Linked DNA regions of Nothobranchius furzeri. The protein of the gene in region 2 interacts with the protein of the main gene of each other region in a biochemical or structural test. Links are inferred from orthologs where the notes say so. Each region holds a gene or a part of one and is shown on either strand. Other genes may lie near its edges. The genes, in order: dab1a, lrp2b and clu.

The links.
Region 1: the proteins of lrp2b (region 2) and dab1a form a complex in vitro, tested with the Homo sapiens proteins (2 studies listed by BioGRID). The link is inferred for Nothobranchius furzeri from reciprocal best matches to the Homo sapiens genes LRP2 and DAB1.
Region 3: the proteins of lrp2b (region 2) and clu form a complex in vitro, tested with the Homo sapiens proteins (3 studies listed by BioGRID). The link is inferred for Nothobranchius furzeri from reciprocal best matches to the Homo sapiens genes LRP2 and CLU.

What each region holds. Positions count from the first base shown.
Region 1 is NC_091748.1:41,689,498-41,700,527, forward strand, and holds the start of dab1a (disabled homolog 1), read right to left. Parts: upstream 7,480-11,030; 5' UTR 7,083-7,479; intron 1-7,082. UniProt on the Homo sapiens protein: Signaling adapter of the reelin-mediated signaling pathway, which regulates the migration and differentiation of postmitotic neurons during brain development.
Region 2 is NC_091756.1:35,639,549-35,650,578, forward strand, and holds the start of lrp2b (low-density lipoprotein receptor-related protein 2), read right to left. Parts: upstream 7,701-11,030; 5' UTR 7,539-7,700; coding exon 7,472-7,538; intron 6,399-7,471; coding exon 6,288-6,398; intron 6,100-6,287; coding exon 5,977-6,099; intron 2,170-5,976; coding exon 2,053-2,169; intron 1,927-2,052; coding exon 1,816-1,926; intron 1-1,815. UniProt on the Homo sapiens protein: Multiligand endocytic receptor. Acts together with CUBN to mediate endocytosis of high-density lipoproteins. Mediates receptor-mediated uptake of polybasic drugs such as aprotinin, aminoglycosides and polymyxin B.
Region 3 is NC_091742.1:12,219,379-12,230,308, forward strand, and holds the start of clu (clusterin), read right to left. Parts: upstream 9,830-10,930; 5' UTR 9,683-9,829; intron 6,641-9,682; 5' UTR 6,621-6,640; coding exon 6,500-6,620; intron 6,418-6,499; coding exon 6,269-6,417; intron 6,185-6,268; coding exon 6,014-6,184; intron 5,930-6,013; coding exon 5,759-5,929; intron 5,596-5,758; coding exon 5,394-5,595; intron 4,196-5,393; coding exon 4,055-4,195; intron 3,668-4,054; coding exon 3,450-3,667; intron 626-3,449; coding exon 441-625; intron 327-440; coding exon 314-326; 3' UTR 1-313.

The DNA.
Region 1 (11,030 bases), on a different chromosome or scaffold from region 2:
TGTTTACAACAGTTGTAACTCCACTTTCAACCAGTAGGATGGAGAAGCAGGAAACTGCTCAGTGTTACTTTTGTCACACCCTGTCCTGTCTCCCCATTCTGTTCAGTCCTGTGTCCATGTTAACTGCTCCCACCTGCCTCTCATCTCCCAATCACCCAAGGTCCCAGCTCCTCCTGTATTTAAACCCTGTTAGTCCATGTTGTCTGGTTGGCTCATTGTTTCATTGTCCTGCGTGTCCTCCATTAAATCAGTGTTTTGAATGTTCCTGTCTGCCTCCCTGCCTGTTTCTTCCCCTGCACTTGGATCCTCACCTCTGTCTCACTCACCGGCATGTTGTGACAGGATGAGCCAACCCAGTAAAGGATCCAGCGGGGAGGTTCTTCCTTGGGAGTGTTTGCTCCAGTTTTTAACCGCAGATCACCAGCCGGCTTCTCCTCCTCTGGCCTTGTCTCGCCGCAGACGCCGTCGCCGAACCCCGGCTGCGACGATCCCCTCCGCCCTCCCGGAGCTAGATGTGAGGTTGGACCAGAAGACACAGCTAGACCGCTCCTGCTACGTGGGCATCAGACTGGCTGTGTGCTCCCCCAGAGCTGGCCCACGGCGTTGGGAAGGATGCCGGGCTCCACCGTCACCCCTGGTCCTGGGACGGAGCCGCAAGCTCGCTGCAGCTCCGGCTCGGCGCGCCAGCTTGGACCCGCCCCCAGTCAGACCAGCAGTCCCGTCTCCGGTCCAATCAGCGCCTCCGTCATCTGCAGGCGGAGGGACCATGCCTACAGCCCAGCTGACAGAGCTCGCCGGCCTCCAGGCAGAGCTTGGCCGGATCCGTCAGCTCATCAGCCTCCAGGAGTTCCAGCTGGACACCCTATCCTCCCCTAATTACCAGAAGGTTCCGGTCCAGTCTGCAGCTCCCTCATCTCTTGGCCAAAGGATCAAGCCCACAGTCCACCCAGCAGAGCTCGCCAGTCGCTGAGCTGGCCCAACTCCATCAGAACCTCAGTCTCCAGGAGCTCCAGCTGGACAATCTATCCTCCCTGCTCTCCCAGTTTCCGGCACCACTAGTTCAGTCAGCTCCTGTTCCAGCGGTGGTCCCGGTGGATGCATCACAGCCAGTCCCCGTGGTGGTCCCGGAGGTCGCACCGTATCCTGTTCCAGCGGTGGTCCCGGAGGTCACGCCGCGTCCAGTTCCCGTGGTGGTCCGAAAGGTTGCACCGCATCCAGTTCCAGCGGTGGTCCCGGAGGTCACACCGCATCCGGTCCAGCCTGTCCAAGCGGTCCCGTCTGCAGCAACTCCTCCTCCACTCCAGAAGCCGACGGTCCAGAGGCCAGCAGTCCAGAAGCCGACGCTCCCGGACCAGAAGTCGACGCCCACCGGACCAGAAGTCGATGGTCCAGAAGTCGACGGTCCAGAAGTTGGCGGTCCAGAAGTCGACGCCCCCAGACCAGAAGTCGACGCCTCCGGACCAGAAGTCGATGGAGGTCGACGCCCCCCATTCCTGAAGTCGACGCTCCTTCCAGTCCTGTGGTCGACGCCCTTTCTAGTCCTGAGGTCGACGTTCTCTCCAGTCCAGAGGTCGATGCTCTCCCCAGTCCAGAGGTCAACGCTCTCTCCAGTCCAGAGGTCGACTCTCTCTCCAGTCCAGAGGTCGACGCTCTCTCCAGTCCAGAGGTCGACGCTCTTTCCAGTCCAGAGGTCGACGCTCTCTCCAGTCCTGAGGTCGACGCTCTCTCCAGTCCTGAGGTCGACGCTCTCTCCAGTCCTGAGGCCAATGCTCTCTCCAGTCCAGAGGTCGACGCTCTCTCCAGTCCAGAGGTCGACGCTGTTTCCAGTCCAGAGGTCGATGCTCTTTCCAGTCCAGAGGTCGATGCTCCTTCGTATCCAGAGGTCGACGTTCCTTCGTGTCCAGAGGTCGACGCTCCCTCGTGTCCAGAGGTTGACGCTCCCTCGTGTCCAGAGGTCGACGTTCCTTCGTGTCCAAAGGTCGACGCTCCCTCGAATCCAGAGGTCGACGCTCCTTCGTGTCCAGAGGTCGACGCACCTTCGTGTCCAGAGGTCGACGCAACTTCGTGTCCAGAGGTCGACGCTCCCTTGTGTCCAGAGGTCGACGCTCCCTTCCAGTTCAGAGGTCGACGTCCCCTCCATTTCAGAGGTCGACGTCCCCTCCAGTTCAGAGGTCGACGTCCCCTCCAGTTCAGGGGTCGGCGTCCCCTCTAGTCCGAGGTCGACGTCCCCTCCAGTCCAGGGGTCGACGCCGTCTCCAGTCCCGTGGTCGACGCCGTCTCCAGTCCATTGGTCGATGCCGTCTCCAGTCCATTGGTCGATGCCGTCTCCAGTCCAGTGGTCGACGCCGTCTCCAGTCCCGTGGTCGACGCCGTCTCCAGTCCCGTGGTCGACGCCGTCTCCAGTCCAGTTGTTGACGTCCCCTTCAGTCCAGGGGTCGACGCCGTCTCCAGTCCAGTGGTCGACGCCGTCTCCAGTCCAGTGGTCGACGCCGTCTCCAGTCCAGTGGTCGACGCCGTCTCCAGTCCAGTGGTCGACGCCGTCTCCAGTCCCGTGGTCGACGCCGTCTCCAGTCCAGTGGTCGACGTCCCCTTCAGTCCAGGGGTCGACGCCGTCTCCAGTCCAGTGGTCGACGCCGTCTCCAGTCCCGTGGTCGACGCCGCCGTCTCCAGTCCAGTGGTCGACGCCGCCGTCTCCAGCCCAGTGGTCAACGCCGCCTCCGGCCCAGTGGTTGCCGCCTCCATTTCCGGCCCAGTGGTCGACGCCGCCGTCTCCGGCCCAGTTGTCGACACCGCCGTCTCCGGCCCAGAGGCAGACGCCGCCACCTCCGGCCCAGAGGCCGACGACGACACCTCCGGCCCAGAGGCCGCCGCTGCCGCCCTGCTCTGTGTTCCAGTGGGCGTCTGGAATCCGCCCTTTGGGGGGGGGGGGGGGGACTGTCACACCCTGTCCTGTCTCCCCATTCTGTTCAGTCCTGTGTCCATGTTAATTGCTCCCACCTGCCTCTCGTCTCCCAATCGCCCAAGGTCCCAGCTCCTCCTGTATTTAAACCCTGTTAGTCCATTTTGTCTGGTTGGCTCATTGTTTCATTGTCCTGCGTGTCCTCCATTAAATCAGTGTTTGGAATGACCCTGTCTGCCTCCCTGCCTGTTTCTTCCCCTGCACTTGGATCCTCACCTCCGTCTCACTCACCGGCACGTTGTGACAACTTTAAGCTTTACATAATCAAAAAACTTATTTGAAAACAGCGCATAATGGTGATCAAAATATATGTCTTGCAAGGTAATCACTAAAAATCTGAAATTGTCAAAAGATGTAAACTAGCCCAGCTAGGGCTGGGCGATATGGACCAAAACTTATATCTCGATATCTTTTAGCTGAATTCCGATATACGACATATACCTCGATATTTTTCCTCTTGTAAAATATTTACAAGATAACTCACTGCAAACTGTCTTGAGAAGTTATATACATAAATCAGTAGATTAAATGCATAAAAATGTATTGATTCTTGTCAAACTTTAACCTTAGTGCCTATTCTCTACCAGTCAGAGCTTTAGAAACACTGGTACAGTACATCTGTCTGCTAACACACAGTTTAGAGCTAGAGGTGTATCACATGTCCCACAGGCACTTTTTAATTATATATTCATAATTAATGTAAAATTATTTAATTATTCAAACCCTTACAGTATGTTTGAGGTGATTTGGCTACTCCAGCTATCCATAGATGTTTCCTCATTACACAGGGGAGGGAGGGGTTTGGCTTGTCCCTCCGCACATTCAGGATGGATAAACAGAACTCCGTTGCCTTTGAACGCCCCCAAATAATTAAAAACCAGGATGCCAAATGCAACGTTTAGAGCAGCACATTTACCCAGAGGCTCTCAGATTGAGCAAACTTGTGAGAATACATTTAATGACCGCTTAGAGACGGAGCAACATGACGCTAGCATAGCGGCTAATCGCTAGCATAGCAGTTTGACCAGTTATATCGATATAAAGATATAAAATCGTAGTCATCTTGCACCTTGTTTAAAAATTATTTCGATATTTAAAAAATATCGATATATCGCCCAGCCCTATTATGTGCTGTGCTCACTATGCTACCAATCTAGTGCTTGGACAATACTTGCACATTGGTATGCTTGTTGGTACTATTTTTTTATTCAATTGTCCACTTTCTGCTATGACAATGCAAATTTCCCACTTACTAATAAAGGATTATCTTATCTTATCTCAAATATAGACAAGCTGCACCATTTATTTTGGTTAAAGAGAAAACATTTTCTTAGCCAATAAATTAGTATTGATGTTACAAAATATGAGATTTCAATATTGAGCAAAATCCTTGTGTTTTAAACGTTAGAAGAGTCTGAATCTGTGTACATATTGTTTTTACCAGATTTTGAATTCTCTAAAATAAACAAGTAAGTAAGGCATACAACGCACACGTGGGCCAAAGCTTTGTTAAAATACTCCTTGTGCCAGCTATATCTAAGAAAAATGTCAGACATGGACACACACACACACACACACACACACACACACACTAAGTAAATCAATGTTATGGGCTTCCAGCCAATAACCTCTCAACTCCACTTCTGCCTCTTTGTGCAACAGCACAATCTTAGAAAAAGAATACAGCAGAAAGGTACGTAAAATGTAAATTTTTCATGTCCTTTCTTTGGATTACTGTTCCAAAGAAGTACAAATTCAACATTTGTCATCATTGTTCATTTAAGAAAGACATGAAAGGGTTTGTGTGAAGTCTTTTTGCTGCAGCTTGGACTCATACTGAGAAAAATTCACTGTTCCGTCATGAGTTGGAGCTACACTCAGACACCTGCAGAGCCGTGGACTGTACTGTGATGGATGGAAAGGCAAAGGTCTCGACACGGGACACAAAGGAATTTTCCTCTGAAATGCTTAATATTTGTTACGGTTCAGAGTAAAGGCACTGTAGAGAAAGTCAGGCACATGCTGGAACCAGCACAACTTTCATGCTGACATATAATCTACGTCTCTACCAGTTTCACAACATAGTCAAACGATAAGCACCTCATGCTGCACCAAACTCAGAGTAATAAAAATAAAAACATCTATTGGAGAAGACATAAGTAAAGGTACAAAGATCTCAGATGTGTCATTATTAAAAGTGAGATCATCCTTTCCTGCGGGGACTGTAGTTGTGCTGCTTTCCACTGCAGCTGCCTGCTCATTGTTTTCACCAACACTTATTTAAAGAAATGCCACTGAGACCCAGCTGCCGCCTCGTTGAGCAGGTAACTTGAATGGGCCGTCAATTTATTTTCATATTGAACTGTATCCATAGCAACACGTGCCAATATGTTGCCTCAACAAAACAGGCAGCGACATACGCTGCAACAATTATTTGAGTGTCTTAGAAGAAGAGTTAGAGTTATTTTGTATTTTATGAACTTTTCTTCTGATAAAAAATGGCGTTTTTGAATGTTTACTGGATTTCTTTGGTTTTGATGAAACTTACTCAAACAGGTGTGACACAAAGGACCTCATCCCCATTCAGGGTAGTCATGAGGGTGTGCAAAGACCTGAATAAGTACAAGGTATCAGCGGAGAGTCGGAATGGGGTTTTTCTCTAACTGGAACACAAACTCACAAAGAGAACCCCCCCTTTTAATGTAAAAGACCATGAAAGGTTTCAGGAGCCGGAAAGGTACAACCCTGCTTCCAAAGCTGTCTCGAGGTGAAGATAAATCAAACATGTGCTTTCTGTGCAGGACTAAACCTAGCATCCATTCAGAGGCATTGTCTGTCATCAGTCAGCACACATGCAGCCTGTAAGAACATAAGTTGTGAAAGGTGGGCTGGGTTGAGAACAATGGCGCAGAGCAGGAAAAGGGGAAAAGGGGAGGAAGACGTAACAGAATGAGGAGGAAAAAAGAACCTTCTTTGAGAGTTACAATGCTCCGTGGGTTTCTATGACAACCTGGAGCCGCCAGCTGGGCCCAAACAGGCGAAAGAAAGAGAAGTTTGGCTCAAGTGGAAAAAAGTAGCCAAATGTTCTTTGGATGAAGCAGCACCAAAATAAAGGAATAAATAAATAACATCAACGGAGTTTCTCTTTTAAAGTGAACTCATAATAAATGTCAACTAAATACAATTAAATAGTCGAGAACTATAAAATTGTTTAAATTGATAGCAGGAAAAAATATATGCATGCTCCTTTGAAGCAACTTGTTGATTTTAATTATAAGAACATATCTGCACCGCTCAGATACAGGACAAACCCAGAGTTGTGCACCTGCTGCTGTATCTGCGTCTGATGCAGGCAGGAGCAGAGGAGGGTGAGGGTCTGCAGAGCCACAGCCATGATTAATGCGGCTTTTAGCTGCAGCAGAGCGGGCCCCTCAGAGGGGAAAACCACCGGACTGCGCTCCCTCCGTCGCTTCTTCCCTCTCTCCATCATCCAGAAGTCGTGTAGCTGAGAGGCAGATCGCACATGTCACGGACACATTTCAATACTAAAACTTCATCAGCGTAGCCTCGACAGTTCTGCGTGTCAGCCAGTTTCACCCAAACGCATGAATCAGAGCAACCCTCCGTGCGTAAAGGAAGTTTTTTACGCTGTGACGTGTCATTAACGTTAAGATGGGCTCAAGTTGCACAGGATGGGGAGAATACAGCGTGAACAATAATTAGGTTGAGTCACGGACGAGCTGCTCCTCTTAAAGATCTGCGCTTAGGAACAGTGGTCCAGAGATGCAGACGCCAAATGCAGCAAAGCTTCCTTCTTTTTCTTCTCCTCCCGCCAAGGAACACACAAGCACCCCCTGACCACTCTGTCTGACAGAGGGGGTCACTCCTCCACAACCGCCAAACACACGAGCATCCGCGCGCGCACTAAACCCCCGATGCACCAGCACCAGCAGCAGCAATAGAAATTTTATTGCAGTAAGAAGCCGAACACAGCAAATCCACAGACTTCTCCAAACACCAAATAACACGCACACATTCATAAAAAGAAAGTGCACACTTTGCGCACGGTCTGCGCAGAATTCCTCCAGTTTTTCCGCATCACTTCAGACTACAGCGCACTTACCTTTGCACTACAGCGAAAGTGAGCACAGTTAGTTCCCATTTCCAAGCGAGGCTTTTAGAATCCAGTCATCCCTGAGTCTGCTCCTGGTTTCCTGAGACATCCACAGCGTGCTTCAGCAGGGACTCTAATCCAGTCTTCCATTCCGGGGAGAGCACTTCCCAGCTTTGTTACATCTTTTTCCACAATTCTCACAAAAGTAAGCCAGCGCTTCTTCTTTTTTCTTTTCTTTTCTTTTTTTACTCCCCGGTCCTCTGCCCCCTCTTCTTTCCTCTCCCTCTCTGAGGTTGCCTGGTTACCTCTTTCTGTAGGCTGGATCAGACCGCCGGCCGGCAGCCAATCACAAGCCTGAGTTTGTCTTAACCCCTCCGTTGCTGAACTGCCCTGATTTCCATGTTTCAAGGGTGGAGGGAAAGAAGTGAGGAGGAGATGCGAGGAACCGAGAGGTAGATTTAGAAAGTGAAATATTTAATAAAGGAGGAGGAGAGATGGGGAGGGAGTGGGGAGCACGTGGTCAAACCTGAGGACATGTCTCAGTTTGGACCAGGGGAGGATTTAGGACTGAAGAAGATCCGGGGCTTAACACACGCGCACACGCACGCACACACGTGACACGCACTAGTCAACATCATATATATATATGACTTGTACCACATAATTTTTAATCTGAAGCTACATATGAAGCATATTCAGGGCAGAGTATTGTTCCTGTTAGTGTTTAGTGTGAGATGATAGTAAATATTCCCTTTCTTTCTCCAACAACTTTACCTGATAGTAAGCTAACTTTAGGCAAACCAGCAGCACAACAAATATTTTCTAATAAGACTCACAAACCTGAGTCAGCACCAGTCTCATCAAAGCTGGGGTTCTGTCGCCGTACTTTTGGTCTAAAAAACGTCCTTATGTCCATCTTCACTCATGCGTTTCAGGCAGAGAGTGTAGAAGAAGCCGGCTGCTGAAGGGCTTCTTCTTCAGTGGTGGAGGCTCAGGCAGGCTGTATACAAACTACTGCCAGCTGCGCCCTCTCTGTTGGACTTTGGTACTGCATGTTACTTCTGCGATTTAGATCCGGGGCTTTCCATGAAAGATCCGGGGCTTCAGCCCAAGTAGCCGGGCCTAACGCCGCCCCTGGTTTGGACAGTGTTGGGGTTCAGTCAGAGGATGACTTTGCTGGCCAGACTTCATCGTCTTCACACACCCACTCATTTACTACACACATAGTAATGCTGGCAAAAACACTTGCCAGCTCATGAATGCTCTAACTGGTGCTGCAGCCTTCATCCTGTCATTCATTACACGTTACTGATTAGATAACCACCCACAGTGAAGTCATGCCACCCTCATCTTTGCTGAATCATGGATTTGGCAAAGCCTTCACTCTGTCTAATGTTTTTTTTTCTCTCATAAAGTTTCTCTTAAAGCACATTACTAGTTTTCAGTGAGAACTTTAAAGAACTGAAGGCTTGGAATTTCATGAGGGTGTGTGTAAGGCTCACCAAGTTTAAGAGGATATATAATGCAAAACCCACCTTTTGTGCTACCACATAGGTCTCTACCGCCAAAATAAACACTAAAAACGTGAAAAAGTCCATCTATCCATTTTCTGTCAGTGATTGGATTGGAATTATGCCTAAAACAACACATTTTAAAAAGTCCCCATTTGTTATGTCAAAAAATAGAACAGAGCCACCCCAGCAAACATTCAAATGTTTAATGGCCGCTGAAACGTCAAACCGAGACGTTCCGCCATGGTTGAAAAATAATTCCAAAATGAAAGTTGAACTGACGTCTTTTCTGGCCGTGACATAAATGTCTTTCAGCGCGTGTCTTTTGGATGTTTCATAATAAAATTATTATGGTCACGGCCGTGGACATCTGACCAATATATGCTGGGATATGTTTGTGTGTGTGTGTGTGTGTGTGTGTGTGTGTGTGTGTGTGTGTGTGTGTGTGTGTTTCATTGCCTAATTTCTTTCATTTTTATCGCACTCCTTTTTGGGTGATAATGTTATTGCCTGTCTGTTATTTTGTTGCACAGATTTGGCTACAACTTTGTTTTACAGATGTGAAGTTTGGTTAATTTGAAGCTGAGTTGCTTGATATTTTCAGTACCTTCCACACACACACACACACACACACACACACACACACACACACACACACACACACACACACACACACACACACACACACACACACACACACACACACACACACGCACAGCTCTATCTGCTCTTGAGTCAAAGACAAACCCAAGTCAAATAGTCCAAAGTTGATTACGCCAGTTCAAACGAGCTGTCGCCATCTTTGCATCAGTAACATCCCGCCCACCAGCAGAGTGCTGCAACTGGCCAACCAAACCAACAGAGAGCTGTGATTGGACCGCTACGGATGTCAGTCCACCATCTCATTGTGAAAAAATGGCATAGAACATAAAAAAAACATTAAATAATACAAAGTTCGTGTAAACAAACACACTGAGTTGGTTACCATAAGGACCTATAGGACGGGCTGGAATTCACCCAGAAGGAATAGTAAATACTTTGTAAACATTAGTATGTCAACATTTTAGGGATACTTTTATAGAGAAATGACTGTCTAAGAACAGCCACAAAGCCTGCATGACAAATATTACAGTTTAACAAAAAGACAACTTGTCTAGGTCAATGGTTATAAAGATCAACCATTGTGCCCATTTGTACTCAGTTTGGCCAGCATCTTGTCTCCACATTCAAGGCTTAGTGGTATTAGAAATAATAGAAATTGTTAAAAAACTAAAAACTAAACAAGCCTCGGCTTTTTCTCCTCCTGTGTCAGACACAATAAAATGTGTGGTCACAACATTTTCTCAGTCTAACAAGCTTACATGAGTTATGAAACCTTGTCCTGCTGCAGTATTTCTTTCTGTTTCAGACTAACTCGATGAGGGCTGAGTTGCCTGCAGGTGCTAGTCCAACTCCAGAGCAGCAGACCTAAATATTTTTCACCACCATATTTGTTTTAGCTAAATATATCTGACTCTGTTACTGGTTACTATGTATTCACTGTGAAATGCACGCATGTCTCCGCTTTGACCTGTAGGATTAAAACGGGATAACCTTCCTTTTTGAAGATCAGTTGAAGGTTAAGTTGCTTTTTCATTTCGGATTTTTACAGAAAGCTTGATGAATGGATGACCTGATGGATGTGGTCACGCTCGGTCAGCCAGAACACGCCGAGAACACAACACAGCCACTTTCTACAGGGTGTTCTCTTGAAGGACTTTCTGAAATTGAAAGTATCTTTAAGGTACCTCCAACACCAAATGCAATCCCTTGTTTTTGCTTAATGACAAACCAATATTCACTATGTACATTGTCTGGAAATTGACTCTCATTTTCTTAAGACACACACTGAACCATTAGTCCCACCAATTGCATTAATGGTTGACCAATCTATCAGCCAGTCTAGAGTTCCCTCCTCTTGGATGGAGGCAACTGTTACACCAGTATTTAAGAACGGGCTAAAGACTGACTTGGCTAATTATCGACCTATAAGTATTCTACCCATCATGTCCAAAACTGTAGAAAAATGGATTGCTGTTCAGTTAACTAGCCATCTAGATGAGGGTCAATTTCCGTTGGACCAATGCCAGTTTGGGTTTAGGGCTAGACACTCCACTGAAACAGCTCTTTGTTTATTCATAGAGCAGGTCAAAGGTCTATTAGATACAAATCCATGTGTGGGAGCCGTATTTTTGGATTTAAAGAAGGCCTTTGACACTGTAAACCATGACATTTTATTGAACAAACTCACTTATTTCAACTTCTCAAGTGATTGCATTCAGTGGTTGAGATTATATCTCAACAACAGAACACCATGTTTAGCTATGAACGGTGTCAGATCTGCCTCTGTTACTTGTAAGGTCGGAGTTCCACAAGGATACATTTTGGGACCAATACTATTTTCTAT
Region 2 (11,030 bases):
CACATATGCACCTGGCCAGATTAAAATAAACAGCAGTCATTAGTATCAGTCCAGTTTTAGCTGTCGGATTCAAACAGATATGTTAAAAAATGACTAAGATCAGCCAATACCAATGTTGATGCTGATGCATCCCTTCTTTATACAACAACTACCAACACACATTTGGTTGTGTTCTTTTAACATTTTCCAGCATACTTTACCTTTGTGGCAACTAAGCTAGCTAAACAAAGATGCAGTCGAAAGTAGACCCCCCCACCCACCCACACACACACACACACACACACACACACACACACACACACACACACACACACACACACACACACACACACACACACACACACACACACACACACACACACCACCAGCCCTTTGTCCTAACCATAAAGAGACCAATGTGTAGTTTTACCAATAATCTCTGGAAATATCCATTGTAATGTTGTTAAAAATGAATGAAATGATGTCCAGTCATTGCAAAATATTGGAGGCTTCGTAACACATAACCATAAAAATCATCTCTAAAGTACATAGAGAGCAGGTCTAAGTCTCTTGGGCACGCCATATTTGACACCATGTTTCCGTCTGGTCAGCTGAGGGTCCTGAGCCTGTGGATGACTGTAGATGACTGGCTGGACGTATGACCTACGGATGTTACATCACCACTTTTCGAAACATTTTGCCAGTAAAATAATTTAACATGAATTTAATAACAAAACTTCTGAACTTTCTAAAACCTATGTGAAAGAACAGAATGGGAAAAGATGCAATATATTTTAGCCGAGTGGTATTGCCGTAGTTTGATGACATCATTGGCAGGCACAGTACCCTGAGCAGATTAGAAATCTACAGCACCAGAAAAATGCAATCGGCATTGCATTCTCTCGATGGAACTGAATGAAGACAAAACAAACTCTGATGAGTATCGTTGAGGTTGCATGCTTTCTGCTCCACAGGTAACAACATTCACCGTAATGTTTTTTAAACTAGCAACAGGCACAGTGATATGGTGTAAAACTACCCCGAAATGTATGTACTGCCCCCTAGCACTAGGAAGCTACACACTGCCACTTTAACAATAATGGTAATGCTAATAAAGAAGCCCTTATTGTAAAGTGTTACCTGTTCTTTCTGTACATGCCATTTAAGGCTTGTTTGAAAATAAACTAGCCATTCATTCATCATGACCCTCACTGGTAAAGCTCCTTTCAGAGTTATGGGACTCCAAAGCGCATTACACTACAATGTATCATTCACACACGCGTGCGCGCGCACACACACACACACACACACACACACACACACACACACACACACACACACACACACACACACACACACACACACACACACACACACACACATTGATGGTAATGTGAGCTGCATTGTAGCCACAGCTGCCCTGGGGTGCACTGACAGAGGTGAGGCTGACGAGCACAAGTGCCACCGATCCCTCCAACCACCATCAGCAGGCAATGCGGGTTACATATCTTGCCCATGGACACAACAGCAGCATTCTCTGCTGGGGTCTGGGATCGATCCTACAAACCAACAATTAGCTGTACATCCTGAGCTACTGCTGCTGACTAATGTTAGTCAACCTGACAAAGACCAAAATCCAGAGAAGTAAAGAGTTGGCCCCCAAACTCTCTAGATACCAGTCCAATGGAAGCATCTGTAGAAACCAAGCCCAACTCGCAACCTCTTCCCCTTAGATTCACAGGGTTCAAAAGATGTCTGATATCCAGGTTTTCAACACTTATTTCCTTTGTGCATGGTATAATGGGTCTGTGTTGGTGTTTTGTTTAATTTACTCACTGCAGTTAAGTTCATCAGATCCATCCCTGCAGTCTTGCAGTCCATTGCAGTGCTGAGAGTTACTGTAACAGGCCCCGTTAGCACAGGTCTTCTCGGTGCACTGTGGATAATCTGTAGGAAACAAGCTTACTCCAGCTATTAAATAGTTGCAATTTCAGAAAAACCTTAACTGATTTGAAAGCAAAACATCGGATACTAAACTATTATGATGCATCACAGACAGAATAAGAATCTTACTGCAGTTCCTCTCATCGGAGTTGTCCACACAGTCCATCATGTGGTCACATCTGTAACTAAGAGAGATACACTGGCCTTCCTGGCAGGTGAACTGGTTTGGGCTGCAGGTTCGTCCACCTGAAACATGTAACGTCCAAAAGGGTCAATTTTCACCTATATATTAACCAACATAATAACCTTTCATCTACAGAAATAAATCCACTTTCTGTTTGGCCTTCCAAAACCAGAAGGTTCTGCTCATTGCGTGTTTCCATAAAGTAGATAAAACACCCAGACAAACATTCTCTCCCAAGGTTCCTGCACTCACTGCATGAAAGCCAGACATCAACATTCTTCACTCTGAATAAATGAAGACTCCATGATTTTAAAACTCATAAACTTACAATAATCATATGTGATGAATGAACAAGATGTTTAAAGGGACTTTACGGAGTTTTGAATTTTTATGCTCGCGATTGCCCCTTCAGGCCAAAAGCATAACGGCAGCTTCAATAGTAGTCTCGTGCACGAGGCGGCATGCTGTTCGTGCACACTCCTTAATCAAAATAAGAGCTGAGACAGTCCCTTGTGTGTGTGTGTGTGTGTGTGTGTGTGTGTGTGTGTGTGTGTGTGTGTGTGTGTGTGTGTGTGTGTGTGTGTGTGTGTGTGTGTGTGTGTGTGTTTGTGTGTGTGTGTGTGTGTGTGCGTGTGTGTGTGTGTGTGGCCCAGAGGACAGAGGGCAGGAGAACGTGCAGCTAATTAATTAAATAATTTGGTTCTGTATGCTTCATACACAGCCGACAAAGGTTTAAGATGGGTCAGTCCTGCATGTTCAGATCATTCCCTTCCCTTGCTTGAAAAATTGTTCCAAAATAAAATTTGAACCCACATCTTTTTTATCTGTGAATTCAATGCCGTTCGGCGAGTCTCAAATAAAAATTTGGGCATCTTACTGTAAAAAAAATCGACCATTAATGTAAAAAAGAAACTCTAAATAAACTATGTTCACATCCAGAATCAAACCTGGATCTTCTGCACGACAGTCCGACATCTTACTGGGTGAGCTAAACTGCTAGTAATGTCCTTTGTATCTGTAACATTTATATCCTTTATGACAGCTGAAACAATGTTCAAAGAACGATTCGGAGCGAAAATGGCTATTTTGTTGCTAATTTGTAGGAAATATCTTGAAGAAAGTTCTACAGAAAGTAGCTAAGAGTCCTCAGAAATGTAGCTAGCTTTGTCACTAGGCGTTAGGAACAGCGACAAAGACTAAAGCTACTGATAGCAAATGCTACGGGCTATGCCTGAGCGTGAACGCGCATGAAGCAGCCTGCTCGACCTGAGCAGCTCTCTTTTTCTGTGATTTTACAGAAAAACAGGCAATCACAATAAAAATGCCAGGGCTCATTCTACAGGACCAGGGCATTGCAGGAGAATGTATGAAGAAGACATTTATTATTTCCATACATGTTTTGGCTGTCAAACTTCCATAATGCCCCTTTAAATGAAATGTTTGAAAAATCTGTGCTTAAATCAATGAATTTGAAATGAATATTTTTCTTACAATGATCCATTTACATCACAAATCACTATGTGTTTGATTTAACAAGTTAATCATTGTTTACACTCATACACATTACAGTAAGATACATATTAAGGTTAATATTCACCTCACATAAGAGTTTTAAAGATTCTTATTCACAGTGTTAAGAAATCTTTGTATCTGAAGAAGGGCGTGGCTTTCTGAGGGATGTTGGTAAATATGTCACACAGTGGAATGTGTGCTTTATGTTGCTTTAAATTATTTTAATAATTGTTGGAATTTCTTAACAGTTTTGTGTTATTGCATGATTTTGTTGTGTGTTGTTGGTTTTATGTGCATGTTTAGTTTAGATTGTTTTGCCACTGTTGACATGACAGTCACCTGAAGAGGTGGGCATGACTGTGAAAGCGCACCAAGTGTGCATAGTTAGCAGGCTGATAAAGGAAGGAAGCTGCAGAACTGCAGGAAGGAAAAAGAGACCAAAGAAACAAGAAGGCAGAGGGACTGGACTAATATAAGAGGACGTAGCACAGAACGGGTTGGATCGTGGGAGGAGCAGTTCATCCTTGGCGTGCAGCGACAACGAGTGGGAGCAACGCCTTTGAATGACAGCAGGGTGGAGGTAGGACCTCTGCCTGCATCCGTGAGTAGACGGCTTCCACTGTTGTATGTTGGGTGATGCTCCGAATGGGCCGATCCTACGGGAGGAGAAAGAGATTGCACTGCTTCACAGACAAAGGTTCTGCCCCAGTGATCTGTCCTTGTCAGGGAGGAGCGGCGAGAGCCCCCGGGAGATCACGCCTGAGACGAGCGCCTGATGAGAGCGAGACCAGAGACTGCTGGAGTCGGACGCCGAAGCCGGGACGTCGCCTTTCCCTTCCTGGAAATTCCCTCCGCGTGACTTTGTGGATCTCGGAGGAGCCCAAGTATCTTTGGGGGTTTTCTTGAAGAACAGGTTTTAATTGCTTTTATGGACTCAAACTTTTTTTTAGTTATATACTTTTAGACGGGGGCTTTATTTAGTTAATAAAAGAGGTCGCAGACAAACTTCTGCTCTCTTGTGTCTGTGTCCCTCTGGTTTTGCACCCTCGCTCTCCACCTGTGTCATTGTGAATCCCTGGTGTGGCGCCTGAGCTCTGCAGCTCCAGTGTTGCCTAGGTTACAAATACTCAGAAATGTGTCAAATTCTGATTGGCCAAACTCGGCCAAAACTCATAACAAAGTAGTCTAATAAAACAAGAATTACTTCCTGATTAATTCAGTTTCCAGCTGACCCCTGATTCGGCCAAATCGGGAAAGAAGCCTCTTTAGAAACAAACTCCTTTGACCTTAAGGCAAAACTTTTCTGTGACGCTGCAAATGATTACAGACACAACAGATCTTTTCAGAGCTACTTCAACTCTCAAACATCCACCTTGGATGCTGACAAGCATTCCAGCTGCCTGTTGTGACCTGGAGACATCTCAAGACTGGACGGGTCGTATCAGAGTTAATCTACGGCTTCAAATATCTTGAGGTCACCAGACTTCTGGCAGTTCTGGATCTGCACTAAGGGTCTCCACACGGGTAGTAGACACAACAGATTGCGTCTGATGAGGTTTTTATCAATAACCAATGCTCTAGTTTATAACAAACAACAAATTATTTTACAGTCAGATTTCACAATTTCTCTCAGATACAAAGAACGGTTGCTACAACATCAAGCTTCCATCACAACATCTCACATCCACCACATCACATCTCATTATTCATATCTTGTCATGTATAAAATGTTAGTTTGGGAAAAATAATTAAATTCATTTTATAAACTATGTACTGACTGTCTGAATTAATACGAAGTGTGTTTATGGTCCCTGATGAAGCAAAGAACCCTAGAATCTTCTGATTAAACATTCAAAGATGAATCAGATTGATATTTCATATTTATATGGAATCATCACATCTTATTGGTCATAATTAATATGTTTTAATGAATGTGTTATGGCTTGGGACGTACCTATAGGATGACCTAAACTTTTCAGAACTTAGTTAAAATGTTCTCCACAACTCTTACTAAAGTCTTTATTACTACCATGAAATGAGTCTAGAAAACCACATGCATTTGTGTTCAAAAACTACAAGAACATATCTTTAAAGGACAGGTGCAAATCATCTCAACACGAGTCTTATGGCAGCAAATAACTGCAATCATGGCAATCATTTTATTTGCACATATGACACGTTCTAGTTTAACAGATAGTTACTTCTGAGGCGATGTTGCCATCTAGTGGATTCTAAAACATTTCAGCTAAAATATCTACAGTTATTTAATTCCTTTTACCAATATGATAGAAATTATTGTAAACATACATTTTAACACTTTAGAAAACATAATAAAATCTTTGGTTTGTGTATTTTACCGCAGGTTCTCTGTTCATCTGAGCCATCGACGCAGTCCTCCTCCCCATCGCAGACAAACCCTGATGAGATGCACTCTCCACTTGTCACACACTTAAATTCCTGTGAAGTGCAGGATGGAGGTGCTGCCACAAAATAGCAAAACAAGTGATTTTTTAATCAATATTCATTCACCTTACATCACTTAACTGCTAGTCAGGTGACTTTCAATTTAAACTTTTAGCTCTTATCAATTGTATTTTGTTTAAAATTGACATTTTTAGCTCGTGTTGAGAATGATGCCATCTATATTGCAGATGGTTATAATACTTACGACAGTTGAGCTCATCTGAGTCGTCTGTACAGTCTTTAGTTCCATCACATCGCCATTCTTTGCTAATGCACTGACCATTGGTGCACTGAAACTCATTAATGCCACAGCTTCCTGCAAAAAAAAAAAACCCTCAGACATTTAATTATACTCATTTTTTGATGGGCATGGTGTGAGCTGAACTTCATTCAAGTTTTTCTTTCAAGTAAAATATATATTTTCTAAATAAGCTTTTTTTAAAACTCCTAAGTTAGTTTTTGTGTTTGGTAGAAAATGGCCTTTAGAGATGACACCAGAAAAAAAAAATCAACAGATATTTATCATTTACAATATTTTAGCATTTGAACATTATTTTAAAACAATAAGAAATATAATCTAAATGTGTTTCTTTTTTAATAATTGTGCACCAAGATCCAATATCAAAGCTGCTGAACTTGCCCAGGTCACAAAGTGTTTTATTACAGAATTTATAGCATTAAATTAAATGTTTGATGTCCGTGTCACCTCAGTAAAAACATCACATATTTTCCTATGTTTTACGAGTGAGCGACCATGTTTATGACAGTTAAAGTTGCTTCTTGTGCAGTATCTGAAACTTGTGGCATGTGATCTGGTCTTTAAAGAATAGTTAATTCTTCACCTTGAATTGACACGATCTTGTGATCCTGAAATATATTAAACTCTCAGACCAGATTTCAAGAACAAATGTGCTTTTATAACTCTGGGATTCAGATTTATTTATATTTATAGAGATTATTCATCAGGATTACTTGTTTTCAGTTTGGGAAAGCAGAGAGACAAAAACAAAAGAAACATTGCAGACATTTTCATACAGATCAGTGTAAATTAATATTGATAAAGTGTGCTTCCATCTAAGATTACTGCAGTTTATAACTTCTACAGATTATCACAACCTTCTAACTTACCCCGTGTAGTTTATTTGTATCTGACTGCACAGAAAATTTACTCCCATTTAAATCTATAAGTTTTGAGTTGGTTTAAACTTTAAAGCAAATGTTGTCATGATACCATGATGTTGATGCACAAAGTTGTTTTTGGTCAACAAATAGGATGAAGAAAGCATGAATTTATCCTGCAGCCATCACTGGCCATCGCTCAGAGCTCCTATTCTTTTATTTGACCCATATTTGCTTTAGAATACAGCAAAAACACAAGGAAACACATACCTTGTACAAGATGAAATCCTTGGGTCAGCAGCAGTAAAGACAAAACATGAAGCCCTTTTAGGCCCATAACTGAACCTTCACGTTCCGTCTCCAGTGTTTCTCAGCTCTGGTGTTAGTTTGATCAGCTCTGAGCTCTCATGTTCCCTCTGCACCCACGGCTCTCCCAAACCCAAATGATCGTGGAGGAGATAACGACTTTGGAACTGAGATGCTTGACCCCAACCAACCAGCAGATCAGTAATGTGACACAGAGTTATACAGGTTTTTATGACTTGCTGTTTTACATAAACTTCATCTAAGATTAACTTTTACCTGTGGATGTGTGGTCCACGTCAGCAAAAACACGTTGGTGTATTTTTGAGGCAAGAAGGTGAATGTGAAAGGTTTAAGTCAGATTAAATATAATAGTGTCTGAAATAGTTTGGATACAGACAAAAGTTGAATACGTTTTTTTTGTTGAAATTAAACATAATTTAATGACAATTTTACATCAGAGTCATGAGTTAATTTCTGACCTCTCATTTAAAATCTGTATGGTTGCATAAATGTTTTAAAACAAAATAATTGGATTTTTAAGCAAATCTGAAAAGTAGATAAAAAGAACAAAGATATAAGAACAAAATCACTGATATTTTTTTTTTTTTTTTTTTGTGAAAAGGGTTAATCATTTAATTCATAGAATGGAAATCTTTGCATCCTAAAACTGACCCCTAAGATCTTTGGCTTCCACGTGAACTAGAAGATGCTAGATGGTCATTAGATCAGTGTATTAGATATTGGTAGATACATGAAGGGCCCGGCTGATACACCCAGGTTTGTCATTTACACAGTACTGACCTTTGAACTATAGGTTTAATTTTACCTAAACCTCCACATATAATAAACATGTTTTAAGGCATGAACATCAAAAATGCATGGAGTGCTTCCAGGGTGTGAAGTGGTTGTGAGTACCTCTGGTGCTCTTTAGTTCAGGGATACAAGCAATACAAAAAAGAATTGGATCTTAGGCACTCAGGAGGATGAAAATAGTCAAAAAACCTTTACTATCCCATGGCTAATCAAATAAAAACATGTCTACTAGCTTCTTGTCCTATTTCGTCATTGTCTCTCCTCTGGAAATGTCCAAACCGTCTCAGTCTTGCCTCTCTGACTTTATCTCCAGAACATTTAACATGAGCTGCCCCTCTGATGGACTCAGATTAGATCCTATTCATCGTCGTCACTCCCAAAGAGAACCTCAACATCTTGAGCTCTGTCTTCTGTCTTGTCCTCATGGACACTGTCTCTAAACCAGACAATATGGCTGCTCTCACAGCTGTTTTCTACATCTTTCCTTTCATTCTTGCAGAAACCTTTTATCACTCCTGACACTTTTCTCCATCCAACCTGCACCACATGCTTCTTCATCTCTTTTCCACCCCCTCTGTTGCTCTGTAGACCCTAAGTCCTACAGCACTTCACTGCTGTCTCACTGCTCTCATGCATGTTCTGCACCACTCTAACGCTTCTCCGCCACTCCGGACCTTTTCATGCACCACAGCTCCTCTCTCATCTCTCTTTACTTATTGCTCATGCTAGATACTTTATTTCACTATAAGTTCCTTCATTTTCTTGGATAATAATATAAGACTTACCCACAAGATGCATCACACAGCATTTTTATATCCATTAACTGCCACATCATTGAGGAATTACCAAGAAACTGTCGACAAGCAACTTTTGTTCACTTTATTGTTTTTTATGACTTTGTTACAGCAGTTCTGCTCATCTGGTTTATTATAGCTGTGCAGCAGAAATCAGAAGCTCAGAGTTTCTCCAGAAAGGCAAATTAAGTTTTATCAGCATTTCCTGACTGCAGGAATGATGCTTTGTATTAAGACCATTTGTTTTTTAAATTAACAGACTTGAAATCCGCCCAATCAGATGTTGATACGTCACTGAAAATGTTGATTCCCACATAGAGAAATTCAAAATGACCTCTTATCGTAAATGTGAAACTATTTAGGCTTGATTCTGTCATTGCTCTGCAAAACTACAATAAAAAGATTGACTTTTCTCAATGGGAAAGTGAGTCAGTTACTCTTTGTGAGAACACCACCAGTTGTCCTCTGTTCTGGTTTCTCAGCTTGTTGTTGAATTATTTTTAAAAATCTTGTAAAATCGGTCAATCAAAGTTTATTTATACAGCACATTAAATGCAACAATGTTGCCCAAAGTGCTTGACATAAAAAAATGAACAGTCAATTAAAAAGACATAAAATAAGCACAAAAATAAAATCAGAAAAAAAAGTCATAAAAAACAGGACAACCCTTTAAGCCCAAGGTGTTAAAAACTTAGGAGTAAAAATAAGTCTTCAGTAACTTAAAAAAAAAAAAGATGATGCCTGCCTAATGGTGATTGGTAACATTTTCCAAAGAATAGGTGCCACCACTGAGAAAGACCTAAAACCTCTTCTCTGTAGCCTCGCCCTAGGGGCATTGAATCTAAGTTGTCAGCCGACCTCAGTCCACAAGATGGAACACAATGCACAAGAAGCTCAGAGAGATAGACAAGTACCCTAACCCTAAACATTTATAAGCCAGAACCAAAATCTTAAATTGGACATGGTATTTAAACGAGACCCAGTGTAGAGCGGCAAGAACTGGAGTGATATGATTCAATCTACAAGTGCCAGTCAAAAGACGGGCTGCAGCATTCTGAAGTAGCTGCAACCTAGCAATACATGCTTAATGCCATGGTAGACTATTGCAGTAGACTAAACGAGAAGTTCCGAATGCATGTATGAGCTTCTCTAAATGGTTCTTAAGCAAAAAAGACTTCACCTTGTAAAGATTTCTCAGCTGAAAAAAGCATGATTGAACAACATAATTGACTTGTAAATAAAAAATAAGCTGAGAATCAACCTTAACACCCAGATTAAACACAACATCCTTTGCACAATTCGAAAGGCCATTCACCAAAGACTGAGGAAATACAGGAGAACCACTCGGTGCCAGCATAATTAGCTCAGTCTTAGACTAGTTAATCGGCAAGAAATTACAGCTCATCCAGTCCTTAACCTCACAAAGGCACATTAGAGCTATTTCCTTAACTTTAGTGGGGGCGTAGTCATCTGCAAAAAAATGAAAGTTAAGGCCGTATTTTTAAAAATAGCACCAAGTGGGAGCAAGTATAAATTAAAAAGGAGAGGGCTGAGTACAGAGCCCCGTGGGACCCCATATGAGAAGAAAATCACTCGAGCTAAAACTTCCAATCCTAACCAGAACTGCATGCATTATCATGTAGATTATAGGTCTTATACAAAAGCTGATTAAAAATAAAGACAAATGTGACCAGCTTTAACAATTTCTTTTAGGGAAGTCGAACTGCTTTGCTTGATATCATAATAACATTTTCTTCATGGGGTAAATCTCTGACATCTTGGGAGGGCAGTTTATGTGTAAAAATGATCCTCGCTTAACCTCTGTTTCATGATGTTTTGTAATTTTTTTCCCACCTGAGATGATTCTTATGGGAACTTCCGTTAAGCCAGATGCAAGCAGGTGGAATGCCAGTAAA
Region 3 (10,930 bases), on a different chromosome or scaffold from region 2:
CGACATATCAAAGAAAGTTCAATGAACATGTGTAAAATATTTCATTCTAATGAATCATAAACCAGATATCGATCAGCAGGATGCAATTAATTTCCTTAAAACACATTTAAAAAGCACATTTTTTGCAAAGGAGACTCGGCTCAGACCTTATTAGGCCTTCCTGTAAGGAGTTTCTACAGCGGAACTAACTTGTTATGACCCTTTAGTTGTGTTTGTTGCAAAAGTAGGACTGGAGGTTCGGAGGCGGACTCAGTTGTGTTTAGATGAATTTGGAGCGTTTTGTGAACAGTTCAAGTGCAAATCCAGATGAATTCTATTTGACCAAACTAGAAGAGAAAGACAAAGAAACCAGAAGTCACTGATGCAGATTTTGGTGGACATCACTGTATTAACAGAAAACCTGCAGCTGGCTGGAAAACATTTTTTATTTTCATACTCACACGCTGGTTTCCTTGTAACGGTCGAGAGCCTCCTGAGCCACAACCTCTGAGAACTTCGGGTCGGTCCAGGGGATGTCGCCTGAGATGGTGAAGTTCATGGATGGAGAGTCGAAGAGCTGCACCGACACTCTGGTGTCTGCAGGCTCCTTCTCACCTGATTGCACCTCAGGGCCCGTAGCCACCACCTGCAGCGGGAAAAAGAGCTGAAAAGTTATGTTTAAAGTTTTATTCTATACATTTGCAGAGATCTCTGGTAAATGTGTTGTGAGTCAGTCTCTCGCTCCCATCCCAGGAAGTAAAAGTTGGCCAGTATAGCAGACGGCAGGTTTTGGAGTCTTATTTCCCGATTTTCAGACCTCTCGCCCCTGATTGGCTAACAGAAACACAACTCTACCACTGCATGTACTGGAGTTGCTAATGCTAACTGTGAGCTTCTGCTAGCAGAGATGTGCTCCGCTCTCTTCTGGACACTAAAACAACAGCAGCCTTCCTCGGTTGCGAGCCAAGATGGGTGAGTCCATGAATGTTAATTTGTAATGTGACGTTGGCTTTTCTAATCTGAACGTTTCCCCGGCTAATGCAGGAAATAGGGTTTCAAGGCTTTTTTCACGTTCAGTCAGCATGTGAAACTCTGAGTGAACGATCATATCTCAAAATGAAGTAAAATACTGTTTCTCTGTGAACTTGTTTCAAATAAATAAATACACTAAAGAGTTTTTCACACTTGAAGCTGTTGAATTCAAACTGGTTTCAGTGGTTCTTGGGCCATGAACTTGACCAGAAACTTTACTTAACAGTTTTGTGGTTCTGGTAGGAACACTTGGGAGGTCTCTACTTGCTGTTTACTGTGCAGCTAGCCCTTAAAGGCTAGCAGTTACCTTTTTCAGTTTGCAGACCTTTAATAAAACACTGAAGAATAATTTTGCTTTTTTTTTGTATCATGGCGGAGCCTCGGAGTAAAAGACCTGATTGCACCTCAGTCACTGAAGTGATTCATTCATACTAGGTATCACCACTAGAGGGCATCCTTCGCCCTTTTTTATGATTTTACCCTCACTGTGAATAAGCTTGTTACTGTTGCTACTAGATGACTACAGATGTTGCAGAGTAGACCTATTATTTTCAACTTCCTTTCTGGCCCGGCCTGCCAGACTCGTCCTCTGATAAATCTGCACAGAGTAGTGATGTGACATTCATGAACTAATCAAATCTTTTGAACGGGTTTTCAAAGTGAATGACGAGAAACGAGTCCCTGTAGAGAGCTGTTCATCTTGTCGTCCGGTAGCAAACCTCCCTGGAAGTTGGCAAAGCGCACCCGCTCAAACCCCACCCACCGCTGTGACGGACGTAGGAGGAACGCTAACCAACCCTGTGTGCCCTCATGGACACCGCAGGAACACGTTGCTCTTAATATCCCCCCCGCTTTTAGCGCTTCCACTTGTTGTGGTTTTAAAGACATTCAAGTCATGGTGTCATGGAGGAAAGCGCTGCAGCGAACTCCGCCTCTGTCTTAGTTGTTTATGAGAAACTGAGCGTCGTTGTGTGTGACAGCGCAAACATCTTTCATTAGAAGAAAGGCTTTTAGCGCTTCTACTTGTTGATTTAAAGACGTGTCCAAGTAATTTAGAACAGAGGAAAGAGCTGCAGCGAACCCTGCGTCAGTCGCCATGTTTGACAAACTCGGCTTTATGGTGTGTGACTACGCTACTCAGTGCTGATTGGCTCGGTTAGAATTCTCAGGGGGCGGGGTTATTTGAATAGGAGAGCTCCCAGACCCTTCTCTGTGCAGAACTAAACAGAGGACGAGTCTGGCAGGCCAGGCTACTTCTTTTCATGTATGAAGGGAAAATACGTTACTTCCCACAAGACTGTCTTTGCAAGGTTACTGTGAGTTTTCAAACAATGAGCGAAAATGTGTAATCTACCTTTCAGAACTGTGTCTACCAGAGGTGTGGACTCGAGTCACAAGACTTGGACTCGAGTCAGACTCGAGTCATTATTTTTAATGATTTCTGACTTGACTTGATAAAATCTATAAAGACTTACGACTTGACTCTGACTTGAACACCAATGACTTGCGACATGAATCGACTTGCATCTGTTGACTTGATCAGATTTGATATTTTAGAACAAAAGTGGCACGACATGGACAAAAATCATAAACCATTCTTCGTTCTGGGTTTGATTTACTGCTAAATGAAGCAGCACTTTGTTTAAAATCATTTTCACTTGCATTTTCTACTTGTTTGAGCAAATAAAATAAGCTTTATTTCCGGGATTTATTTATTATCATTGTCATTAAATTGAAGTTGGACAGATGACTTGATTATGACTTGAAAATTCAAAGTTAAGGACTTGGACTTGACTTGGACTTCCACATCATTGACTTTGGACTCGACTTGGACTTCTCTCGAGACTTGACTGGAAAGACTTGTGACTTGCAAAGCAGTGACTTGGCCACACCTCTGGTGTCTACCACTAGGGGCAAGTGGGAGTTAAAATGGATGCCTCATACCGCTATATGTGACGTAGGTTTCGACTAAAGCTTGGAAAATGAATTCTTGCCCATTTGTGCTGCTTTCTTTCTGTCGACCATAACAAGTAGTATGTTTGCTGACTCGAGCGTGGAAGCCAATTACCCTCAGCTAGCACCCGAGCCACGCACCATTACAGGGCGAAGCAAAGAGCTAAAATCAGAGTGAACATCAGCGTGGACTTCACTTGTTTGAGGGAGCTAAAGGAGGCTCAATCGCTGACTGATGGTGACCTGGCTTTGTTGCTACTGGACTTTTATGTAATATTATTTTGGCCAACAGTGTGGATCTTTTTACTTCGTGGCTTACTAATATATCAGTTTCTTTATGTTAGCATTAGCTCGTTGTTAGCGCTAGCTACAGCAGGCTGTGGCAGAGTTGTGTACGACAGTTGTAATTTCGTCTTCAATCAGTAGGAGGGAGAAGTGGGAAACTTATTTAGTGGTGCTTTAAGTTGACTAAAATGTCATACCACCTTAACATGGAAGATGCCGTCCTGGGTGTTGTTAGCCAGAGACGACACCCAGCCGAACTGCTTGTTGAGAAGGTCCAGGATGGAGGAGGTGTTGAACATCTGCTCCTCGAACCTTTTCAGAAGGACGTTGTACTGCTGCGTGAACCGCTCGGCCATGGCTAGGGCCTCCTCCAGCTCCTCCTTCAGAGGACCCTCCAGAGGTTTCTTCCCAGAGCAGTCTGTTGGGGACAAATGTCAAAAATGATCCGACAAAAATCACAAAAGCTGCACAGAGAAGCCGTTCTCACAACAGACACCTTGATGGAAGCACAGGTGTGTTAACGAGGGCTGCATTCCACTCTGGCTGCAGCAGGTTCCTGCTAACGAGCTGAACTTCTAAATGGAATGCAGCACAGGTTAACACGCAGGCAAGTCAAAATATTAGACTTGAAGTAGGTCAGATTTTAGAAAACACTCTTATAAACAATGATGGTACAAAAACCAAAACAAAAAAACTGTTTTTCTTCATTCAAAGACAAATGTTACAATTTTAATAATTGGTATGTGAAAACAGGTCAATAGAACAGGAAGTTGATTTATTATCAATAATACATCAACACTCTCACCAAGATGCTGGATTTCTTTGCATTTCTCACACTCATCACGGAACTTGATGCAGCCGGCAGAGTTGCGACGAATCTCCCTGCAGGTCATTTTACCGCTCCCAAAGGGCCTCGTAATGATCACGTCCTCGTTCACGCTGCCGTCTGCAGGTAGCGCGCACACGCACGCACACACACAGAGTCTATTCAGTCATTAAAGAGCAAGTCACCCCCTACCAGAGTATTACTCCACTCCTACTTCCTGTTTGAAAAATGCAACAAATGCTGTTGCCTAGCAGACTGAGAGGGCGGAGCTCTAACAAATACACACTCACACAGGCTCACAATGACATTGTGACATCATATGGTACCAGCTAATGTTCTAGGGTACCTCTTAGCCAATAGCGATGGCAGATTTAAATTCAAACGCAGTGCAGAGTTTTTACCTGACAACAGCACAACACTGACAGTTTTAGGCAGAAAATTAAAATTTTAAGTAAAATGCACTAAAGTGCAAAACTATTGACTACACGTGTCTGCAGCACGATTAGACACACATTTATATAGTTTATCAGAAAAAAAAGTTGATTTGGGGGTGACTTGCTCTTTAAAGGTTACAGGTCAGGAGTTTACTTTTAAAATTTGACTGTTAATTTGACAATTAAAATATACTTTCAAAATAAAAGCAAGCAAGCAAATGGACAGGACATTTTAAAAGTCAAAAGAAAACTTTATTTACTAAAACATTTATTTGTCAGGTAAAAATGGTCAAATATATCTCAGGCCCTGTCCACACGTAGCCGGGGATCTGCCAAAACGTAGATATTGTCCTACGTTTTGGCCTGTCATCCACACGAAAACGGAGTTTTTTCACACGAAAACGGATCTTTTTAAAAACTCCGGCCAAAGTGAAGATCTGCGTTTTCTCCGTTTTGGGTGTCTGCGTGTGGACAGGCAAAACCGGAGTTTTAAGGTCCGCAACGTCACTTTCCGCGACAAAACAATGCTGACAATCACGTGTGCGACCTGTGTTTACACTGGCCGGCATCATGGAAGCCCTCAGAGCTGCGCTCTGTCACTACCCGATCCATCAATTGTCCAAGCGCTTTTTGCTCGTTTGTTTTTTCAAGAGGATTTACTGCTCCTTGCGGAAGACCACAGACGAAGGACGAGGTTAAGAACGGGGGAAGTACTGCCGCCTACAGGTCTGGCATGTCCTTAACAACGTATTTATCCGGGTACGTGTGGACAGAGTCTGTTTTTAAAACGCGGTGGTGTGGATGCAAGTTTTTGGAGGGGTGGATATTCGTTTTTAAAAAACCCCGGCTACGTGTGGACTAGGCCTTAATCAGCATTAATTTACCCTGATTTGTTGGAGTGTCAGAGTCCAGGTCTGTCATGGCATCCATGGAGCCAAACAGGTTCCTGCCCATCATGGGGGAGAACAAACTCTGGAAGTTGTGGAAGGGATCGTGGAAAAGCGTGTGGATGCTCCTGCTGCGGCGCATGACCGGAGCCAGGAATCTCGGGAAAAAGAACATGGGAGGGTGGACATGATCAGCCACCTGGGAAAAAAACGCAAACAGCTGATTAGGTCATTTTTTATTGTTTCTGTCAAAGCAGGATTGGATCACATGATAAAATGTCCTTTTCCTATTGGAAGGGGATTAGAATCTCCAGCAGATCCAGTACTCCTGGTGTCGTGTGCTAATCCGCGCTCGGCGATACCTTCATGCTATCTGAGAAGATGCTCTCCACTCCTTCTGACATCTCTGTGTATTTTTCTTCCACGTTCCTGAACTTTTTGCTCTGTCGCCGTCCCTCCTGCTCCAGCGTGTCGATCCGCTCCCCGTTGATCCAGATGGAGAAGGGAGATGTTCTGTTCAGCACATCCTCGAGCTGTGGATTCAGAGAGGACGTTTGGCTTTGATCAAAACCTTTTTCAGGAGTGGCAGGTTTCCCAGAGAAGTGCGTGTGTCTGACCTGGCGTCCCACCAGCCCAGATCCACTGCTGCAGGTACGGGAGTAGTACTTAATGCAGGTGTTCTTCAGGCAGGGCTTACACTCCTCCCACAGAGCCTTCATCGTCTCGTTACAGACCTCCTCCTCCTTCTCCAGTTTGGCCTCCATCTCCTCAGCCGTCCGTATCGCCTCCTGCATCCAAACAAAGCTCATCACATATAAATGAGTCTAGAAGAATTTTTACACATAAAATACATTTCTTCCTGTCTTCTTTACCTCCTTCTGCTGCTTTGTTTTCTCCAGAGCATCCAAAAACTTCTTGTGGTCTTCAGAAGATTTCTGCATCACATTTTTCATTTCCTTCACGCCGCCAATGGCGTTTTCAATCTGTTTGTCCAGATACCTCTCTCCCTGGACGGAGATCTCTGAAGATCAATTATGAGAAAATGAAAATGTCATGTAGAAAATATCAGTTTGAACCTGGGAATCTGTCCGTTCAAACTTTACCATTAAGATCTTCCCTCGATGGCGGGAGGATGCAGCTGGCCGAGGACAGAAGGGCAAGAGCCATCACAGCCAGGGACTCCTTAGAGCCTTTCTTCTTCATCATCATCATTATTATTAGCATCCTCTCTGACTCAAAGGGAGCTGGAAATGACGAGTAAATTAAAAAAGAAAAGTTTAAAGTTGCTGTAATGACAGTGAGGGTCCAGCAGGGGGAGACCTGCGGCTGCAGAGGAGACGGATGGATCTACGCTGCAGAAAAATGAGATGTTTGCTCTGCAGTTTCAAGCATTACTCAGCAAAACACCAAAATAACTGATCATTATGTTTGTCTTGAGCTCACACTGACCTCAGATCAGCCCTTCCTGTGACACTGACCGGCTGTTCCCGTGAAAAGCATCATTATGAAACCAAACAGCAGGACCTTTCTCTGTTTACCCATCCCTCTCTGAGGTCAGCTGATTCAGCAGACTGCCGCTTCAGATTGTTTTATCTCCTCAGACGCACGCAGGATAAATAAAAGACGAGGAATCTACCAGAAAGACGAACTCTCATCTGTGTGCTGATTTATCTGGGCGGTGTAATTAATGTTCTCTAACACTTCACACAATCATTTTTTGTCTATAAGCACAGGAAACATTTAGGATTTGCATCTCATGCTGGAAACAGAAGATTTCATGTTAAATAACGAAGACTAAATGAATGAGTCATGGTTTAAATAAACAGAATAAAACTAAAACTCCCGTCTCCATGGCAACACATTGAAATTTGCTGCTGAAAGTTACAAAATAGAAACATCTCCTTAAAGAAAACTGTTTGCTTTTGCTGATGATGTCATTGTTTTGCAGAAGAAGAGTTGGTGCAGATTTTTTAGGAGAAAATAGTTATTGAATGTTTAGATCATTTGTGCTAAAATGACGCTTTACAGCAGGGGGTGCCCAATCCTGGTCCTAGGGGGCCGGTATCCAGCACGTTTTGGTTTTAACCCTGCTTCAACACACCTGTTTTCAATCAGCAGGTGATTAGTAGGCTTCTGCCATTCAAAGCGGCTCACTAAATTATAATGTCTAATACAAATTACAGTAAAAGAATAAGACAAACATTCAATCCTAAATCTGCAGGGATTTGGTTTATTCCTTGGAAAGGTCTCTGCTGTTGCAAAATGGTGACATTTGAATTTGTGCACGGCGCCTTACAGGTAACCAAACTATTGCAGGAGTTGGCAGATGGATGAAGGATCAGAGGATTCGTTACCAAAAAAACACTCAACTCCTAACTAATAAATCACCACGACAACTCGTCTTCACAATAAAAATATGTACTTCCATTTTCTTTGGTAGTAGAATATACTCTTCTCGTGTGGAATTAACACATCAACCAAGCACCAAACTATGCAGCTGACAGAAATTTTGATATATGAAACTTCTAGAAAATATAAACATCCAAACCATGGATATTTTGTGAAACTGAAGAATCCAACAGATCTGATGGTTTTGCTCTACGTTAATAAAAACTAACAGTTTTAGGTCTGGATTTATTGGCCTTCAGTGATTTAGTCTGCTGAAGTTTCTCACGATTATTATCTCAAGGTTCTTTTATTGTTTAGTCTGGGCCGAATCAAAACAAACAAAGCTGGTTTAGATGTAAACGACTTTATTTTTTCATCTTTTAATCACATTTTATGGTTTATTATTGTCCACCGTCACCTTCACGCCCACCATCACCACCTGTTTCGATGGTAACAAGAAAAACACAGAAGCAGCAGCTTCTTCATTCCAAACCACCACATTTATGTAATCACCAGATCAATGTTTAATGATTTTCAGGTCAAGTTGAGTTAATATTTTGTTTGAACAACTTTCATTTTTAAGGTTATTCAATTTAACTGCAGGCTTAAAACCCACTGCGGAAGAACAGACATCATAAAACACAAAGAGCTCATGATTTATTTGATGATAAATCTCTGGTAAAGCATTTTTCATTTTGTCCTAAACATTTAGATTTTAAATATCAGTTGTGGAAACAGCAATGTGAAAATATGGCAAACTGTAGTGGGTGGAAAGAACAAAACGTGCGTCAGAGGAGAGAAAACAGCAGAGAAAGTCAGACAAGGTAGGAGTCGGACGGCGTTGTTTGCAGAGCCACAGCTGCAGGGATTCTGGTTACACAACTGAAATACCAACACTCCTCCAGATGTTGCAGCACCCTCCACCCACTGCACTACAGATGGACTTCTTAATAGTTTGTAAAAAGACAAGATTGCAAAGATTGTTTTTCTTTTCCATAATAACCAGTTATCGTTATTATTATTATTATTACTACTACTACTACTATTATTAATAATAAACTTTCATCCTAAAGAAAATTTAAGCCTGCAGAACATCTCCTTTGGAATTTAAGAGACTCCTAAGCCTATTTTAATGTTTTCACATCCTGCATGAAGCAATTAAACATAATATATTGTTTTTGCTGTATTTTAATATTTAGGATGAATGTTTTTGATGTTTGCATTTAAAATCAAAACACCTTCATCCTACGGAGATATAAGGTTATAATTAAGGTTCATGTAAGGTGAGAACGACTAATCTTTTCTGCAAATGGGACGCTTACACGTGTGGCCCCATTTCCACCTTATTTTAAGTGTTTGGGGATTTGTGCACCCAGAAGGAACTTTTTTTAAACAGCCATGCAGAAAATCAAGGTCATCTTTAAATGAACACAAATAAATCATGTATAAAAACTTTAAGTTCTGTCAGCGGGATCATAAATTAACAGCATACATTGATGCTGTTTACAATGTCTGTTAGATAATAAAAAAAAACTGACAAATTTATTGTTTTGGTTGAATTTTCTTTTCTTATTTTGCAGTGTTTATGCTGATGTCTGTAAGGTAAACCAACCAAAGAGTGACGTCATCTAAACTAATCCAGTTGCTTTTAATCAGGTCACACCCGTGGGTAAGCAAAACAAACACCAGTCATGCATGTTTGCACCATAAATCAACAGCAGAGACCTAAATAATAGATTTTTAAAGATTCTACTTACAAAATGTTATTCTTATTACAATTATCATTTGACAATAAAACAGTATCTGAAGCGGTTTGAACTCGAAAAAGCATCATTTATCTTAATGCGCATCCCTTTGGTGCAAAAGATTAAAAAAGAAAGAAAGTTCCTGAGACTCACCTCTGAATTTCCTGGATCTGAAGCCACACCAGTGCCGCTGCTGCCGGTATTTATGTTCAGCAGGAGGCTAACGGGAACGGTGCAGGGAGGCTGCAGCATCAACGGCGTCCCAGCGACGTAACAACACACCAACTTCCTGCCTGACCCTTCAGAATAAAACTAACAGGAACGTTTAGTCGAGTTGAACACAAACAAAACGAAAGACATATTTAGTGTTTGAAATTCATGGCAAACATATAACACGAGGATTTATTGAAATAGAATGACATTTAAAGGTAATGCTACAGATAGCTGGTTGTTAGCTGATAAGCACACTGCTCCTAAAATGTTTTAATGAGATACACAAAAATATGTATTTGTCTCAGTGAGATTTAATGTATTGTTTGATTTTATTATATTTAGAAAAATGGAAGCGATAACAGATCATTTTGTCTACAATACATCTTTTTTGCTAAAATAAGCTATGCTACTAGGTTACTTTTTAATCTCACATTACTGTTAAATCTTTTATTTCTTCCATAATTTTCACATTTGTGTCACTGAATAAGAGCGGACTTCAAACAGAACAAGGTTTAAGCTCCAGTGAGATTATGTTACTTGTTCAAATTTACCTTCTTTTACACAAATGTGGAGTAAAAAAACAAACATTTATTTTGAAATGCAACCATGTTTTCGGTGACTGCAGCGTTTATTTCCGGTGACTTGATGGCCGTGACGCATGACGACCTTTCCAGAAGTTTTCAGATTTATCGGCAGAGCTGAACGCTGCTGAGCAGGGAGACAAACATCTGATTCACAGACTGTGACTCATCTAAAATGTCTGATGTTTCCAACCACAACACAACCACCACTTTGAAACCAGGATGAGCAACATGGAGCTTTGTAATGCAACAACAAGCAGCATTCTTTACACTGATGACACATTAAATGATTGTTTAATATTTGGTAAGATGCTTTCGTGAAAATAACATTTTCCTCCATTGCTCAACTCTGCTCAGAGCAGAAACTATAACTTGCAGGTCACCAGACAAACACAAAGAAGCAAAAAAGGTAAACAATCCTGCAGACTCATTAGTTCAAAATCCCCAATTAACACGACCTACATAGTTTTTGGCAGGAAGTTGCAGGAAAACATGAAAAATGCAGTTCAACCCAACACACCACAGTGTTGCCTAGTTGTATTTATCCAAGCTAAATATTTCTGAAACTACCTTGAATGAATTCTGCATAAAAAACTAAATTTATACC